Alligator mississippiensis: one gene and its partner. The protein of the gene in region 2 purifies or fractionates together with the protein of the main gene of each other region. This does not show direct contact. Links are inferred from orthologs where the notes say so. Each region holds a gene or a part of one and is shown on either strand. Other genes may lie near its edges.

Evidence for each region.
Region 1: the proteins of RRM1 (region 2) and RRM2B purify together in Homo sapiens (affinity purification with western blotting; 3 studies listed by BioGRID and IntAct, counting the BioPlex papers as one, with this or other methods). This does not show direct contact. The link is inferred for Alligator mississippiensis from reciprocal best matches to the Homo sapiens genes RRM1 and RRM2B.

Annotation. Positions count from the first base shown.
Region 1 is NC_081826.1:37,272,980-37,280,155, reverse strand, and holds the start of RRM2B (ribonucleoside-diphosphate reductase subunit M2 B), read right to left. Parts: upstream 3,173-7,176; 5' UTR 3,110-3,172; coding exon 3,056-3,109; intron 1-3,055.
Region 2 is NC_081824.1:481,574,751-481,582,036, forward strand, and holds the start of RRM1 (ribonucleoside-diphosphate reductase large subunit), read left to right. Parts: upstream 1-4,079; 5' UTR 4,080-4,170; coding exon 4,171-4,189; intron 4,190-4,929; coding exon 4,930-5,018; intron 5,019-6,975; coding exon 6,976-7,153; intron 7,154-7,286. UniProt on the Homo sapiens protein: Provides the precursors necessary for DNA synthesis. Catalyzes the biosynthesis of deoxyribonucleotides from the corresponding ribonucleotides.

The DNA of each region.
Region 1 (7,176 bases), on a different chromosome or scaffold from region 2:
CTCAGATGTACCGCAGCGAACACAACATGCATGGACACGTGCAAAGTCACTTCATCCCAACTACCAACCTGCGTCTAGCACAGCTACTTGCGGTTCAACTCCAGAACATCATACAAGATTTCCTTCAGAATTTCTCCACATTACAGATCATGTGTCTATGCACAAGCTGTTCAAAATGAATTAATTTGGCATCTCAGATGCAATAAATACTCCTATTCGTAAAAAAAGCAGTACTTTGCAGGGATTTGTTTGCTTTAAGCCTGTGCCGATACACTCCTAATTGCTCCACGTTTAGTGGTCCTCCCATTGCCATACCACAGTGCACTGCCTCACATTTGGGTTCATCCATCTGTATGTCCCTCCACCAGTCTTGGGTTCGGGTTCCCTTGACCAGGTTTCACCTTGCTTTAAATGCTGCCATATATAGCCCTTCTTATACCAAGACCTGGGAAATTCATACATCTGGAGTCACAGACACTGCAGCAGTCACCCCCACCCATCCTCTGCCTAGTCACACACCCCTGCAGAGCTCTTGGACCCAACTGCCTTCTGGGAGTGCTGCATGTCCAGGCCACTCCAAAGAGGAGTTAGTGGACTGCAGACATGTGTGTGTTCCACCTCAGGTCATCCAAACCCAGAAATGCAATACTGAGACCATGTCAGAGTGTCCCGCTCCAGCTGCTCTAGAGGCCTCAGTTTCCAGTGTACTTGAGAACAGCTGCAGAAGGATGCCCCAATCAACATAAGCATCAATATATTTCCAGATTAAATGTATGCGAGTGGGAAGAAAAAGCTTAGGAATGGGAGCTGGAAGACACCAACAACTAGACTATATACCCAATTGTATCCATACATGAAACTTAATATTTTTTCCCTGAAAAAAAAAAAAAAAAAATCAAATCTCACAGACACCAGTACCACAGAACAACAGACATGTTTATTGTAGCAGCAGATATAGAATGAAAAGAAATTCAGGAGAAAATGGTCTAGGACGATTGTTTAATCAACACACTAAGATTTTATGTATAATTCAATGACAAGGCAAAAACTCCTCAAAAAATTCAAAGACATTTTTAATAGCTTAATAGGAAGGTTTGGCACACCTAGAGCAGGAGAAAGGCTGCAGACCCCGGCACAGAACAAGGGCTTCTCAACCGTTACACACTCAAGGTTCCCCTCTAACTTTTCTGAATGCACTAACACCCCATTTGTAAACCACTAGCTTGGAGTGCACTTGGTATGCTTTGGCACTCATTTTGTCTTATGCAATGTAGAAGGGATAAAACCAAAAGTTCTAAAATAATTAAGTGCATAAAACAAATCAGGCTAAAAGCTATGCACATAAACGAGAACAATGGCTTTGATATCTCATCTTGGTTCATTTAGAAATCTGTAAAAAAGGTATCCCTCCTGATTACTTTCAATTGGAGTTTTTTTTAGCCTAATTTCTTTCCGTCTAATACCCTTCCTTATAAAATACTTAGCTCTGCTTGACAAAATCCTATTGTTTTCCAGTGTAAATCGATACATTTCTATGAGAAATACTGATTGAAGAAAACAATTTAGTTGGGCTAAAACACCAGAGGACCACAACTTTAGTTTGATTCTCCTTACATTAGAACCTATCCTATTTGCGCTGGTTCCCATTTGCTGGTCCTCAGAGGTGTTTACAAGGTGCCCCTGGTCAGCATGCAAATAAATCTGGTTTTGCACAAGGGATTCACTGGAGCCCTGATCCACATATACCATTCCTCAACTCCTTCCCCAGGCACCTTGCAGGGCTACATCAACATGCAAAAACAGCCCAGTACCCACTGTGTCCTGGGGGGAGAATTTCTTGGAGTTCCCTCCCCTCAAGGTGTTTCCTCATCCAAGGTGCTGTAATTACAATGCGTTGGAGCAGCCTCATTGCATGTGTAAAAGCACCCAGTGCCCAATTAGTGTTTTCCAGAATTATTTTCCATCTTGTAGATGAGCACAGTGTACATGAAAAACCTTTGATTATTTTACTCTGCATAATCATGTAATTCGTATATAGCGACTACTCTGAACTTTTATGGTAATATTTTGTACATTAAACATTTATCTGTACGTAGGGAGCTTGGGGCTCCTGCTGCTTTAAGGAAAGACGAGATGCAGATGACTCAGAAGGGAATTAAATGAACCGTATGACCCAAAAAGGGCTGAGTTTGCACTGTATAAGCCCAGAGCTGGGAGGGCAATCTACCTCTGGGAGCCATGGAAAAGCTTGAATCCAGAAGACAAGAATGTCAGGCCTTATGAGAAGAGGCCAAGAGGCATGGGACTCTTCAACCTGGAGAAGCAAAGGCTCAGGAGGGACTTGGTGGCAGCCTATAAGTACATAAGGGATCTGGGAGAACGTCTGTTCACCAGGGCACCCCAAGGGACAAGGAGGTCACAAACTGCTGGAAGACCATTTTAGGCTGGACATGAGGAAAAACTTCACTGTCTGAGCCCCCAAAAGTGGTGCAAGCACCTGTTCTGGACACTTTTAAGAAACACTTGGGTGCTTCTCATCATGCTGGGATCCTTTGACCCCAGCTGACTTCCTGCCCCTGGCACAGGGGGCTGGATCCGATGATCTCGCGAGGTCCCTTCCAGCCCGACTGTCTATGAATGGACGACAGCAATCTGCCACCATGAGGGTGCCCGCCCCGGTCTCTTCTTAATCCCTTAATCGCTGCGGCGACTCGGATGTTTCTACCTGCTGACGTAGCCGTGCAAGGGGCCGGGGAAGGCGACGAGGAAACGGTATCTACGGATCAGAGCGCCAGTGAATCCCTTGTTGTGCAAAACCGGGCTATTACCCCGGCTCCCCCCCCCCCAACGACCCAAGCCGTGCGCCCGAGCCCGCCCGCCCGCCCGCGGTTTCGGGGCCGGCCGGGCCCCCCGTGAGGGCGCTCCCCGCGCGGCGGCCTGGACAGCGGGCGGCTCAGAGCCGCTGCCCCGCGGAGCTCTGCTCCCCAGCCCGACCTCGGGAGGCCCCTTGCCGCCCCCCTCCAGGACGCGGCCCGACCCCCCCGCGCGCGCTCACCCCGTCGGGCCCCTCGGCTCCCGGCAGCGGCGCGGGGCCGCAGTGCGAGCCCATAGCACGGAGCCGCCTTGGGTCGGAGCCGGCCCCGCCCCGTCGCGCCCCGCTCCCAGCCTGCCCCGCGCCCCGCCCCAGGAGGCGCATGCCTCCGGCGGCTCGAGAGCGCATGCGCCGAGGGTGGGGCTTGGGAGCCAGCTCGCGCTTGTGCCTGGCGCGGCGCAGCCCCGCCCCCAGCCGGCTCCGGGCCCCGGGGCGGGGGCGGTCCCGCGCCAGGCTGAGCCCGGCAGGACAGAGTAGGCTGCACCGCTGCCACGCGCGCCGCCTTCACGGCCGATGCCAGGGAGCGCGTCGAGTAGCGGGGGGGCAGTGCCCGGGACACGCGGGCCCCAAGGCAGCCACGTGGTAGCACTTGGCCCCGCGCCCACCAGGCTGTGAGAGGGGAGGGGACCTGGCCCTGCGCGGGGCGACCTGCCCCCACCCCAACCTGCCCCAGGGCCCTCGGCAGTGCGGCAGCATTAATTGCCGCTGCTCCCCGCTGCCCTGGTTCCCGGTCGCTGGAGAGCGCGGCACGGGCCAGCCTCGGCCCACGGGGCAGGGCTTCAGCAGGCGTGCTGGAGCGCCTCTGGCTGGATGCTCCCCCTCTAGGACCTAGGTCTGCCGCGGCTCGGGTCGGTATGGGCCATTGCTCTGAGAGACTGCCACGTCTCACGTTTGAAAGCTGCCCTCCTTTCCTGTCCCTTACACGGGACCTGCTGTGTGCACGCAAGCACAGGTCGAGCTCCAAGACCTGGGCTTTTTCCAACCGAGAGCCCGAAAGGATGTCTAAGCTGCTTCTGAGCAGCACCCAGAGTTCCTCGGTGGCTATGTAGCTGCATGAAATCTGCACTGATTTTGCCTCAGCAGAAATTTAAGAGACAAAGACACTGTCCTGTAACTGCATTTGCAGCAGGGGTATCAAACTCATCTGGACCCAAGGGCAGAAGGCCAGAAGCATAGGCTCACAGATTTCCACCTCTCCCTGGGGCCAGATCCAGTGCACACAGCACCCACCCCAGCCCATCTAGGACATGTGGACCCCACATGCTGCCAGGGGTTGCAGACTGGGCCCATGTAGAGATGTGCTATGGGTCCTGCACCCTGTGCAAGGAGGCAGCCTAGGTCAAATCAAGACCCAGGGCCTGCAGGAGGGGCCAGATGATGCAATTCCATAGGCTGAATCCAGCCTGTGCTGCAGCCTTGACACCCCTACTTCAGAGCAATTAAGCACAGCAGTCATAGATACGCTAGACATGCATATAGCAGAAGGGAGCTCTTATGGCTTAAGAGCTGGTCTGTGGCTGTGAGGGCAGAGGAGATGGAGCATTCCTTTAGAGAACAACTGGAAGATGGTACAAGTAGTTCTGTTACCTGACTTCTTCCTGAACCAATGCAGCCATAAGAGCATATGTAGCATATCTGTAAGAAGGTACAGAATATTTGCTTCTATAAGCTGTACATTTTCCCTGCCTTTTCAATTTGGGCTTGCCTACAGTCAGGTTTTATGCAGACCCAATTTGAACCCCTCACATGAATATGCTGCTCTGGTATAAATTGCAACTTGCATCAAGAGCCTTTGCTGAAATTATGCCAGTGCACAATGTTTTTATACCAGCACAAATGTGTTAATACAAATCCTCCCCCATCTCTCAACAGATAGAATCATAGAATAGAAGGACCAGAAGGGACCTGTAAGAGCAAGTCAGGTCCCCTGCCACGAGCGGGAGGTAATTGGACTCAAATGAGCTCAACAAGGTGGTTGTCCAGCCTCCTTTTGAACACCAGCAGGGATGGTGACTGCACCACCTCTGCTGGAAGTCTGTTCCAGATTCTAGTTACCCGGACAGAAAATAGTTTTTCCTTATGTCTAGCCAAAAGTTTTCCTTGACTAGCTTGTGCTTATTGGACCGTGTCTTCCCAAGGACTCCCTTTCTGAATAGTTCCACCCCCTAGATCCTAGTGTTCACCCCTGACATACTTGTAGGCGGCTATGAAGTCACCCCTCAGTCTTCTTTTACTCAGACTGAACAAACCCAAATCTCAGTCTCTCCTCATAGGGCCTATCCCCCGCCCCCTCCCCAGGCCCATGATCCTGCAGGTGGCCCTTCTCTGCACCCTTTTGAGCTTATCCATATCCATCTTGAAGTGTGGTGCCCAGAACTAGACAGTACTCCAGCTGTGGTCTTACCAATGCCAAGTAGAGGGGGAGGAGCCCCCCTCTGGATCTACCGGCAACACATCAGCTGATGCACGCCAGAGTTCTATTTGCTCTGTTGGCCACTTGATCGCACTTATGGCTCATTCAGCTTCTGGTCAATTGTCACCCCCAGGTCCCTTTCGGATGCCGTGCCAGCCAGTGGGCCACCACCCATCGTATAGATCCAGGTAGGAAGAACCTTCACCATATGAAGGAGCTGGTACTTGTCCCTATTGAACCTCATCCGATTGCATTCAGCCCATAGGACCAGCCTGCCAAGGTTGTCGTGGAGCCTTGCCCTGTCTTCAGATGTGCCCGCATGTCCCCACAGCTTGGTGTCATCCACAAACTCAATCATTATGCTTTCCACTCCCTCATCTAGGTCATTGATAAAAATGTTAACGAGCACAGGCCCAAGCATTGGGGGACACCACTGGCGACAGCCCTCCAGGGTGAGGCCACCCCATCAATTACAACTCACTGGGGTTGGTCACTGAGCCAGTTGCCAACCCACCTCACTGTAGCCTGGTCTAGGCCCGTACCCTCCTTGGTTGAGAGAATTTCATGAGAAACAGTATCAAAGGCCTTGCAAAGATATATGTGGCCAGAATATAGTCACCATGATACAGAAAAGGTGCCGAGTAACATTTCTAACTAGCCAAAATGACCATGAACCAGGCAGACCCAAAGTTCAAACACTGAATAAAATGACTGGGTAAAGTCCAGGCTGCCACGCACACTCAAACATAAGATACAGCAATGAGAAAAACAACCAACCAGCAATGTTAGTTTAAAGCTTATAAACAATCTAGGGAGCTGAGTCAACAGGGTTGAGCCTAAACTAATCTTTAAAGGTACAAGAGATGATCTTGGAAGCAGGGGGGAGGGTCAATGCAGGAGAACAAGATAGAAAATAGCCAGAAAATGCTTCCCAATCTCACTGCTGCCAAAATGCTCCTGACCTGCCTCTCCAGTGCCAGGTAATAGAAATCTTCACCACCTCAAGCATGTGTCATGTGACTGACGTGTACACAAGAGCAGCAGAAGTGGCAGTGCAGCACTAGAGGATACACCTATTCTGAAATGTGGAACCACTTTCTCCCTGTTCAAGTCAAAATAAGTTTTCTGACTGAAACCATGTGCCCCTAAGCTCCTCTACTTCACATACTGCAGGAATCTAACAAGCATCTATCTACTAGGAGAGTGAGGCTGGTGTTTTGCAGCTGGAAGTAAATGGGTCAAATGGATAATAGTATATCATGCATATTACTTTGCCCAGCTACTGAAGACAGCTGTTAGCTTTTTCTGCAAATGACTTAAGTGGTTAAGCCAATATCTGTGAGGTTATCTTCTTCATAACAGACCCTTCCCTGGGTAAATTCTCCCTCTGAGCCCCAGTTCCTCACCACCTAACTTTCCAAAGGTTTCTTCTTGGGCCCCATAAAGAACAAGGTCTGTGACCCACATTTTGAGAACAACACTTAAAGCAAGACTCACAGACTCCTTATTAACCCTGACAATAAGCTACTTGCTTGTGCTCACTTTCCAGAGTGTAAGAGCAACTTAATGGAACATGCCAATGCACCACCTACTATCTTAAACATTGTGGTACATCTCTCCTAAGTGTACCATGAAAAATAAGTGTTGATAATAGTGTAGTTGGGTGTTTTCTATGTAGGCAATACCTTGAAAATGTTAACCTCTGCAAGCCATATTTTATGTATCATATATGATGCTTCTAACACTGATACATGGAAATCTTGTTGGATTGTAAAAAAGACAATTTACACGTGTAATGTATACATTTTTTCAGTCTAATACTGCAGCTTATACAGTACACAAGGCTAGCTAGCCCAGTGCCACTATAGGGACCAAGACTGATGGTATATGA
Region 2 (7,286 bases):
TCCCAATCCTTGCTGAGGCCAGATCTCCGTTGTCCTGGCTTTATTCTGCTTCCCCAGCAAACCTCACAGGGAATATCCGTATCTGAACTTTCTTTAGCTCCAGACTCCCTGCCATACACCACCACTTGCCCATTTAGAGCTAAATCCAGAGCAATTCATGCATTTAATTAGCTGATGCAACCGCTCTGCCTTGCACATGTGTATTTCTCTGGCATGTCAGGAGCTCTGCAAGTATTTTGTGGGAGTTTGTATCTAGATCCTCATACAACCCATCTAAGTCCCAACAAGCAGAAAGTACCCATCTTATCAAGGTCTAGTTTCAGCAGCTTTGCTTAGGAAGGTGAAAGATATAGAAAACAGAACAGATCAACACACAAACTAATGCAGCAGACTTCTCTGAAAAGTCGTGCTTGAGACTGAGATCATATTCCCCCCATAGCAAAGTCTCCTACTAAGCAGACAGCTCCATCTATATCTGAATTACTTGCGTGTCCCCCAGCATTCTTGCAGAAATAAACCTCCTCCACTAGGCTGGGGCTGCTATCTAGGCTGCCTACTCCAGGGGAAAAGTGGAAGTTGGCCCCACAAACCTGTTCTGTGGGAGAAAAAGGAAGTAGAAAGAGACCTTCCCCTTTACTGTCTGTGGTAACTTCCATTTTATGGCATCTTCTGTCGCACGGTGATATTTCTGCAGTCACACAAGGCCCAAATCCTGGTAGGTGCCACTGAGGTTCATGGGTCTGCTGAAGTGACTGAGGCAAGATCAAAATCAAGGCAAGCAGGATCTGACCCCTAAAAGTAGTCTGGGTCTGATTGTCCTGTACCAGCCCACACCTTGAGAAGTCATTTATGCCTGGGCAAAGCGATGCAAAGACGAGTATAATGCCTTACATGCACTTTCCACAGAGATAAAGTGCTCTGATTTCCACAGTGGAATCGGGTCATTCTGAACAGATCCGCTGTGCTGCTGAAGCGCTGCGCTGAGCAGGGAGGGAGGTGAACCTACGCTTCCTTGAATCGAGGCCTCAATAACCAGGTGGCAAAATACCGGACCCTACGTCTCTATTTCTTTCTTGCTCAGATCTTACAAAGTGCTGGCTACTTATAACTTCCATTCTTCATCCCTCACATGGGAGAGGGAAAGGCCTGGGACAGTCCCTGCTCCAAGGACTTCAACTTTTGTATGACAAAAATGGGGTCCGTATCTTCATCTTTGTGTGCTTTGGCGTTTTCGTCCATTCAGGAGCTCTTGGCCGTCACGGATGTTACCAGGGATCGCTATGTGGTCGAGTCCCCTTCGAGGACTGTTTGCATGGGAACCCAGGTCTCCCCTGTCCTAGGGCTTAAGTCATCTCCACCTTGCTTTTCTCTGGCCCAAGAAATCTGGAATTTCTTTTTTGCAAAGCAGCTCAGCCTGATCAGGAAAAGCAGTATATACAACAGGATGAGATAGGAAGCAGAGGAGGGTAGCATAAAGCACACAGGGACATCAACGAGGCAGAACATGACAACAAAAATGCAGAGCTAGAAAGGTCCTCAAGAGAGTATCCAGTCCAGGCCCCTACACTAGATCCAGTAGATCTAGGCATACATTGGCTGGGATACTGGGGTGTACACTGCTTAGCATGCACAAGTGGTTGGGTCCTTTGTTCCTATCTTCTTCGGAAAGGAAAAGTACTAGCAGCAGCATGTCCCCTAGCAGCCGGTTAGGGCGCTGGTTGGTTTCTGATTCAATTGAAAACCGCCAAGCCCTGGCTCACTAGCACCACAAGCATCTTTGAAGATCCCCAACTCACTCCTGTTCAGTGTGCAAGAACTAACAGGAAGCCTGGTGTGAGACTGTAGGCCTCACAGCACACTCATATTAACGATGTGACATGGGGATTTTTTGGAACCAGAATGGGTTTCAGGCTCTGATAGTTGCAATGCTGTGAGCACTAAGCTTGCGGAGGAAAGGACACAGTATTCAGTCAGCTGAAGCCCACACTGTGTTCGTAGATCTTCCCCTTCCAGCTCCTTTGCACTGTGTTTGACTGGGTCTTCTTTGAAGGTCTTTACAGTAACACATGAGGATGTTTTATTTTACAGCTTACGGGTTAAACCGTGGCAGAGGAAACCCAGCCTCTCTCCTGAGGTGCGACCATGCTCGGAACAGAACGATCAAGATCAAAAAGACCTCGATGATTTTGGAAAGAAACGAAGCAACAAAGACGAGAACTTCCTCTGCAGAGCTGCAGCGTTACCTCGCATCTCGGAGGTGGAGGGCAGGCTGCGCAAGCACGTTCCCACAGTTATTTCCAAGCTGGCTTCCACCGTGCAGTTTGCTGCGTCCACATCGGTCCTTCCTGATTGCCAAACCTGAAGGCACACCAAGGGCTTTTGGTCACCAGGCTCTTTCTGATGGCCGAAAGGATGCATTTTGACGTATATAGCACTTTGCACCCCAAAGACAGCGTGCTTGCTGTGAGGTTTAAATGGCGACAGAGTCACTGCTGTAAAAAGCATGCTCCTTCCGTGTCTACCACTAGCTCCCTTTTCTCCCCGAGATCAGTCCCAGCCGCTTGTCCACCATTTTAAGGCCTTTCACGACCCATCTCCGACTTAATCCTCCCATCTAACAGCGCTATTGAGGCACCGATCCTTGTCTCCCCTTCGTCATCCACCTCAGCCCTGACTCTGCATTTGTCAAATGTGCCAGCAAGTCACTTGGCACTGTTTTCCCAAGCTACCTAAGCGAGGGAAGATTCGCTTAGATATGAAGAAGTTTTTCTAATATCTTCATATCTAAACTTCCTCAATAGGAGGGTGGTGAAGTACTGGAACAGGGTCGATATCCATCCGTCGAGGTTTTTAAGACCTGGGTAGACAAAGCCTTGGCTGGGAAGATGTATTTAGCGGCGGTCCTACTCTTGAGCAAGGGGTTGGACTGGAGATGCCTCTGAGGAAGGTTTAAAAACACCCTGACACGTTGTTTGGGATGATGTAATTGGGGCTGGTCCTGCTCTGAACAGGGTGTTGCACTCGATGTCTATTGCCCTCATTGCCTACGAGACGTTTGGGAGCAACCGCGTGATGTTCGCGACCTCCTCGGTTGCACGCGCCTCCGTTCGCCGCATCCGCCCCGGCTTCTTGTCGCGATAGCAAGCGCTTTAGAAGAAAGACCACGTCTCGTCCGGGAGGAGAGCGGCGCTTCCCGCGCGCAGCCCCTTCGCGTCTCCGCGGTCTCTGGGTGCCGCCGGCCGCTGTTACGTAATAACGGCGCTACTTTTTTTTTGGGAGGGAAATTGCGGGACGGACGCTGTCGAGTCCTCGGGTGCCATCTGCTGGAGAAACGGAAAGAAAACGTCAGGCGAGCGATGGATTCGGTCGCACCCGGCAAGGAAAGAAACTTCTTTATGACGTCCTGCCGGTGTGCGGGGGGGGGGGGGGGGGGGGGGGGGCTGCGCGTGCTTATGGCGCTTCGCAAAAGAAAGGTGACCGCGTCCCGGCCACCACGGTGGACAGTGTCCTGCGTCACATGTGCTCACCACAGGGGGGGGGGTGTCTCCCTCCCCCACCATGAACCCCTGCCCCCCCACATACTTCCCCTCCTCCACTGGGGCACCCCCCCACCCCCATCCCCCCTGGAAATTGCCCCCCCACTCCCCCCTCAAGGTCTCTGCCCCTCCCCCCAACCCCAGGTAAGCCCCCCCCCACATACCTCCCCTCCCCCCCTCAGAAATAACCCCCCCATTCACCCTTCCCCCTCAAGGTCACTGCCCCTCCCCCCACCATAGAGACCCCCCCCCCCTTCCGGGAATCCCCCTCCCCCACATACCTCCCCTCAGAAATTGTCCCCCCATCACCCTTCAGCGGCTGTGGCCCCGCCCCGCCTCTTGGCCCCTCCCCCCGGCGCGGCCCGCTCTCCCCTCAGAGGCGGGCTCGCGGCCGCCATCTTGGAAACGGGCACGCGGCCTGCCGGGCTGCCCCCGGGGCGGGGCCGTGCGAGAGAGTATTGATAGGGCAATGGGGACGGGGAGGGGGGGGCGCTGCCCGCTTCCAAGATGGCGGCGGCCGCGTCAGGGAAGGGGCGGGGCGAGGCGCGCTACGGCGGCGGGGCGGGGTCAGCGCGGCTTGGCGGGAGCGGGAACCGCTCAGACCCGCGCACCCGGCCCGGCCTGAGACGCCGCCATGCACGTCATCAAGCGAGGTGCGCCCCCTCCCCCCCCCGCTAGACCCTGGGGGGGGGGGGGGGCGAGTGGGGCAGCCCGGGTCCCTGGGGGGCTGGGGGTGAATGGGGTGGGGGGTATCCCAGGGGGTTAACGGGGGTTGTGGGGGGTTCATGGGGGTTGGGGTGGGTGTCCTGATGGGGTCTGGGGGGAGGGGTATCCCAGGGGGTTAACGGGGGTTGTCCTGGGGGCTTAACAGGGGGTTGGGGGTGTCTTGGGGGGCTGATGGGGGTGGGGGTGCTGTCCTGATGGGGTCTGGGGGTGTCTTGGGGGGCTGATGGGGGTGGGGGGCTGTCCTGATGGGGTCTGGGGGTGTCTTGGGGGGCTGATGGGGGTGGGGGGCTGTCCTGATGGGGTCTGGGGGTGTCTTGGGGGGCTGATGGGGGTGGGGGGTTGTCCTGATGGGGTCTGGGGGTGTCTTGGGGGGCTGATGGGGGTGGGGGGCTGTCCTGATGGGGTCTGGGGGTGTCTTGGGGGGCTGATGGGGGTTGGGGTGCTGTCCTGATGGGGTCTGGGGGTGTCTTGGGGGGTTGATGGGGGTGGGGGGCAGTGTCTGGGGTGGGGGGGGGAGTTGTGGGGTGCCAGGGCATTGGACTGGTTCCAGGTAGTTGATGGGGTGGGGGGCACTGGGGTGGGGGGGTGTCACGCCGTGCTGCATTCGGAGCAGCGTGTGCTAGCGCCCGTCTGGGCGCGTGTCTGTCTCTTCCCCGGCGCCGCGCAGATGGACGCCACGAGCGCGTCATGTTCGACAAGATCACGTCCCGCATCCAGAAGCTCTGCTACGGGCTCAACGCCGACTTCGTCGATCCTGTGAGTCTGCTGGTCGTACCCCTCCCTCCATCCCTCCCTCCCGCGGTTGTTATAGACAATAATTTGCTGTTAGAAATTTGCCCCCTGGCTTTGCCTCGGTTAGCCTGCATGGAAATGGGTGGAAAGCACCTTATAAGCGACCGCGGTGCTGTGCCAGATTTGGGGGATCTTGTCGCGGTGCCTCGTGCCTGTCCGCCACATCTAACTGTTCGTCTCTAGAGCGCTGATCCTCAACCAGGACGCTGGGCCGTGACACGCTGGGTTAGCACGGCAGACACGACTCCCAAAATCACCCGGGAGATTTCAAACAGGAATCCGTAGCGTGAAAAACATCCCGCCCTGTTGTGGGCTTGCTGAGCTCTTTGCAACAGGAGAATCGCCCTTGTTTTTTGTCTGTAGTCAAAAACGACAAAGGAAAATGAAGAGCTGCCCTTTTCTGAGGGGTCTGAAAACATTTAGGACCAACTATTCTAATGGAAATAGGGGTCCAGAAAATGCCACCCCGAGGGTACCAGTGACAGATGTCACCTGGTTAAGGCAACCACCTTGTCCTTTCTTTCCTTTCGTAGCCCAATCCTTCCACATGTTTGCGTTTTGGCTTGTTCTCCTCCATAGGTACAAAGTCTGAGAGGATACATCTATGTTTCCCTGCTATAAATTCCTTCTCGTGGGTCCCTCAGATGCGGCTTGAAGTTTCTGGTGCTAAAAAGCAGAAAAACAAGTTCCCTGCTACTCCATTTCAAATGTCTTATTTCCGTTTGTTAAAATGGTGTAACGAGTGCTTTAACCTTTAAAAATGTGTTTTTAAACTCCTGCCGCATTTGCCTCCGTGAATATGTGGAAGAGAAGCCCTTGAATTCTGTTATTAAAGTAAAAGGTATACCCTTTTTTTCCCCCCGAACTGAACCACCCTCTTATTAAGATATGTGCTCTGTTCTGAGCAGTTTGACACTGAAAAGACACTGACCTGATTCGGCAAAGTGCTCTGCCCTGTACCTGTGAGATCTGTGGGACCGTGCGAGCCCTCCCACGTGGAGCAAATTGCAGAATTAGAGGCCCCAGATCAGAGTCTTTTTGGGCCATAAAGGTCTTGTCTTTATGTGCATCTGTAAAGCACCATCATAGTAGCGGTGCTGTAGTAGCAGTGAGGGGATAATGTTCTTCAGCTTTATTGAACAAAGCTTTGCAAAGAGGACAGAGCCTCATTGACTCCTTTGTACATACAGCCCAGGAAACAGCTGTGTGCAGAGGTGAGCTGACTTGATTGCAGTCGTGCAGCAACTTGTTGGCAAAGCTGGGAATTGGGAGTCGAAGTCTCCGGACTTCTGGCCTGGTGTCCATATGACTATTAATAATACTGAAATTAATTTTCCGTGACTTTTTTATTCTGAGGTAGCTCTGAAGTTCTTTGTCCTGAACCATGGTCCTGTTAGGTTGGGTTTGGGACAAACTACAGCAGAAGAATACCTGTGCCTCAAAGAACTTGCAGTCTAATTCAGGGTTTGAAAATGCCAGCCTGTCCTACCCAGGGCAAGTGAGCATTTCAAACCTGCAGAGGACAATTCTTGCACTAGATCACACTCGTATTCGACCTGATTCTGAATCCTGTCTCATAAGAACATACATAGTGCCATACTGGGTCAGACCACAGGGTCCACCTAGCTCACTATCCTGTGTCTCACCGTGACTAAGAGTGGACGCTAAGGGAAAGGGTATTTAGGCTGATTCTTTCCAGACTGATCTGTCCCCTGCCTCTTTCCCCCTACAGATTCCAGCATTCAGAGAAAGGGTTGCAGCTTTAAATATTGTACTTAATACCCTCTATCTAGGATGCTGGTCTTGGATAGTATCCACCACCAGCTGCCTTGGAAGAAAACACTCTAAAGATGTTTGTGTGTCTAAACTCTAAAGATGTTTTTATTTCTGTTGTTAACCTCCACATTTCTGATTTCCCCAGGCTCAGATCACCATGAAAGTGATCCAAGGTCTTTACAGCGGTGTTACCACAGTAGAGCTGGATACACTGGCTGCGGAGACGGCTGCGACCCTGACTACCAAACACCCCGACTATGCCATCCTGGCAGCAAGGATCGCAGTCTCCAACTTGCACAAAGAAACCAAGAAAGTGTTTAGTGGTGAGTGCATGTTTGAGAGTGCTTCGAAACAGCCTGTGCTCTGTTCATGAGGAGGGAGTCAGAAACGGGTTGGGAGTGTAAATATGGCAAACCATTCCTTAAAGTGATTTGGGCCTGGGATGGCCAGACCTCC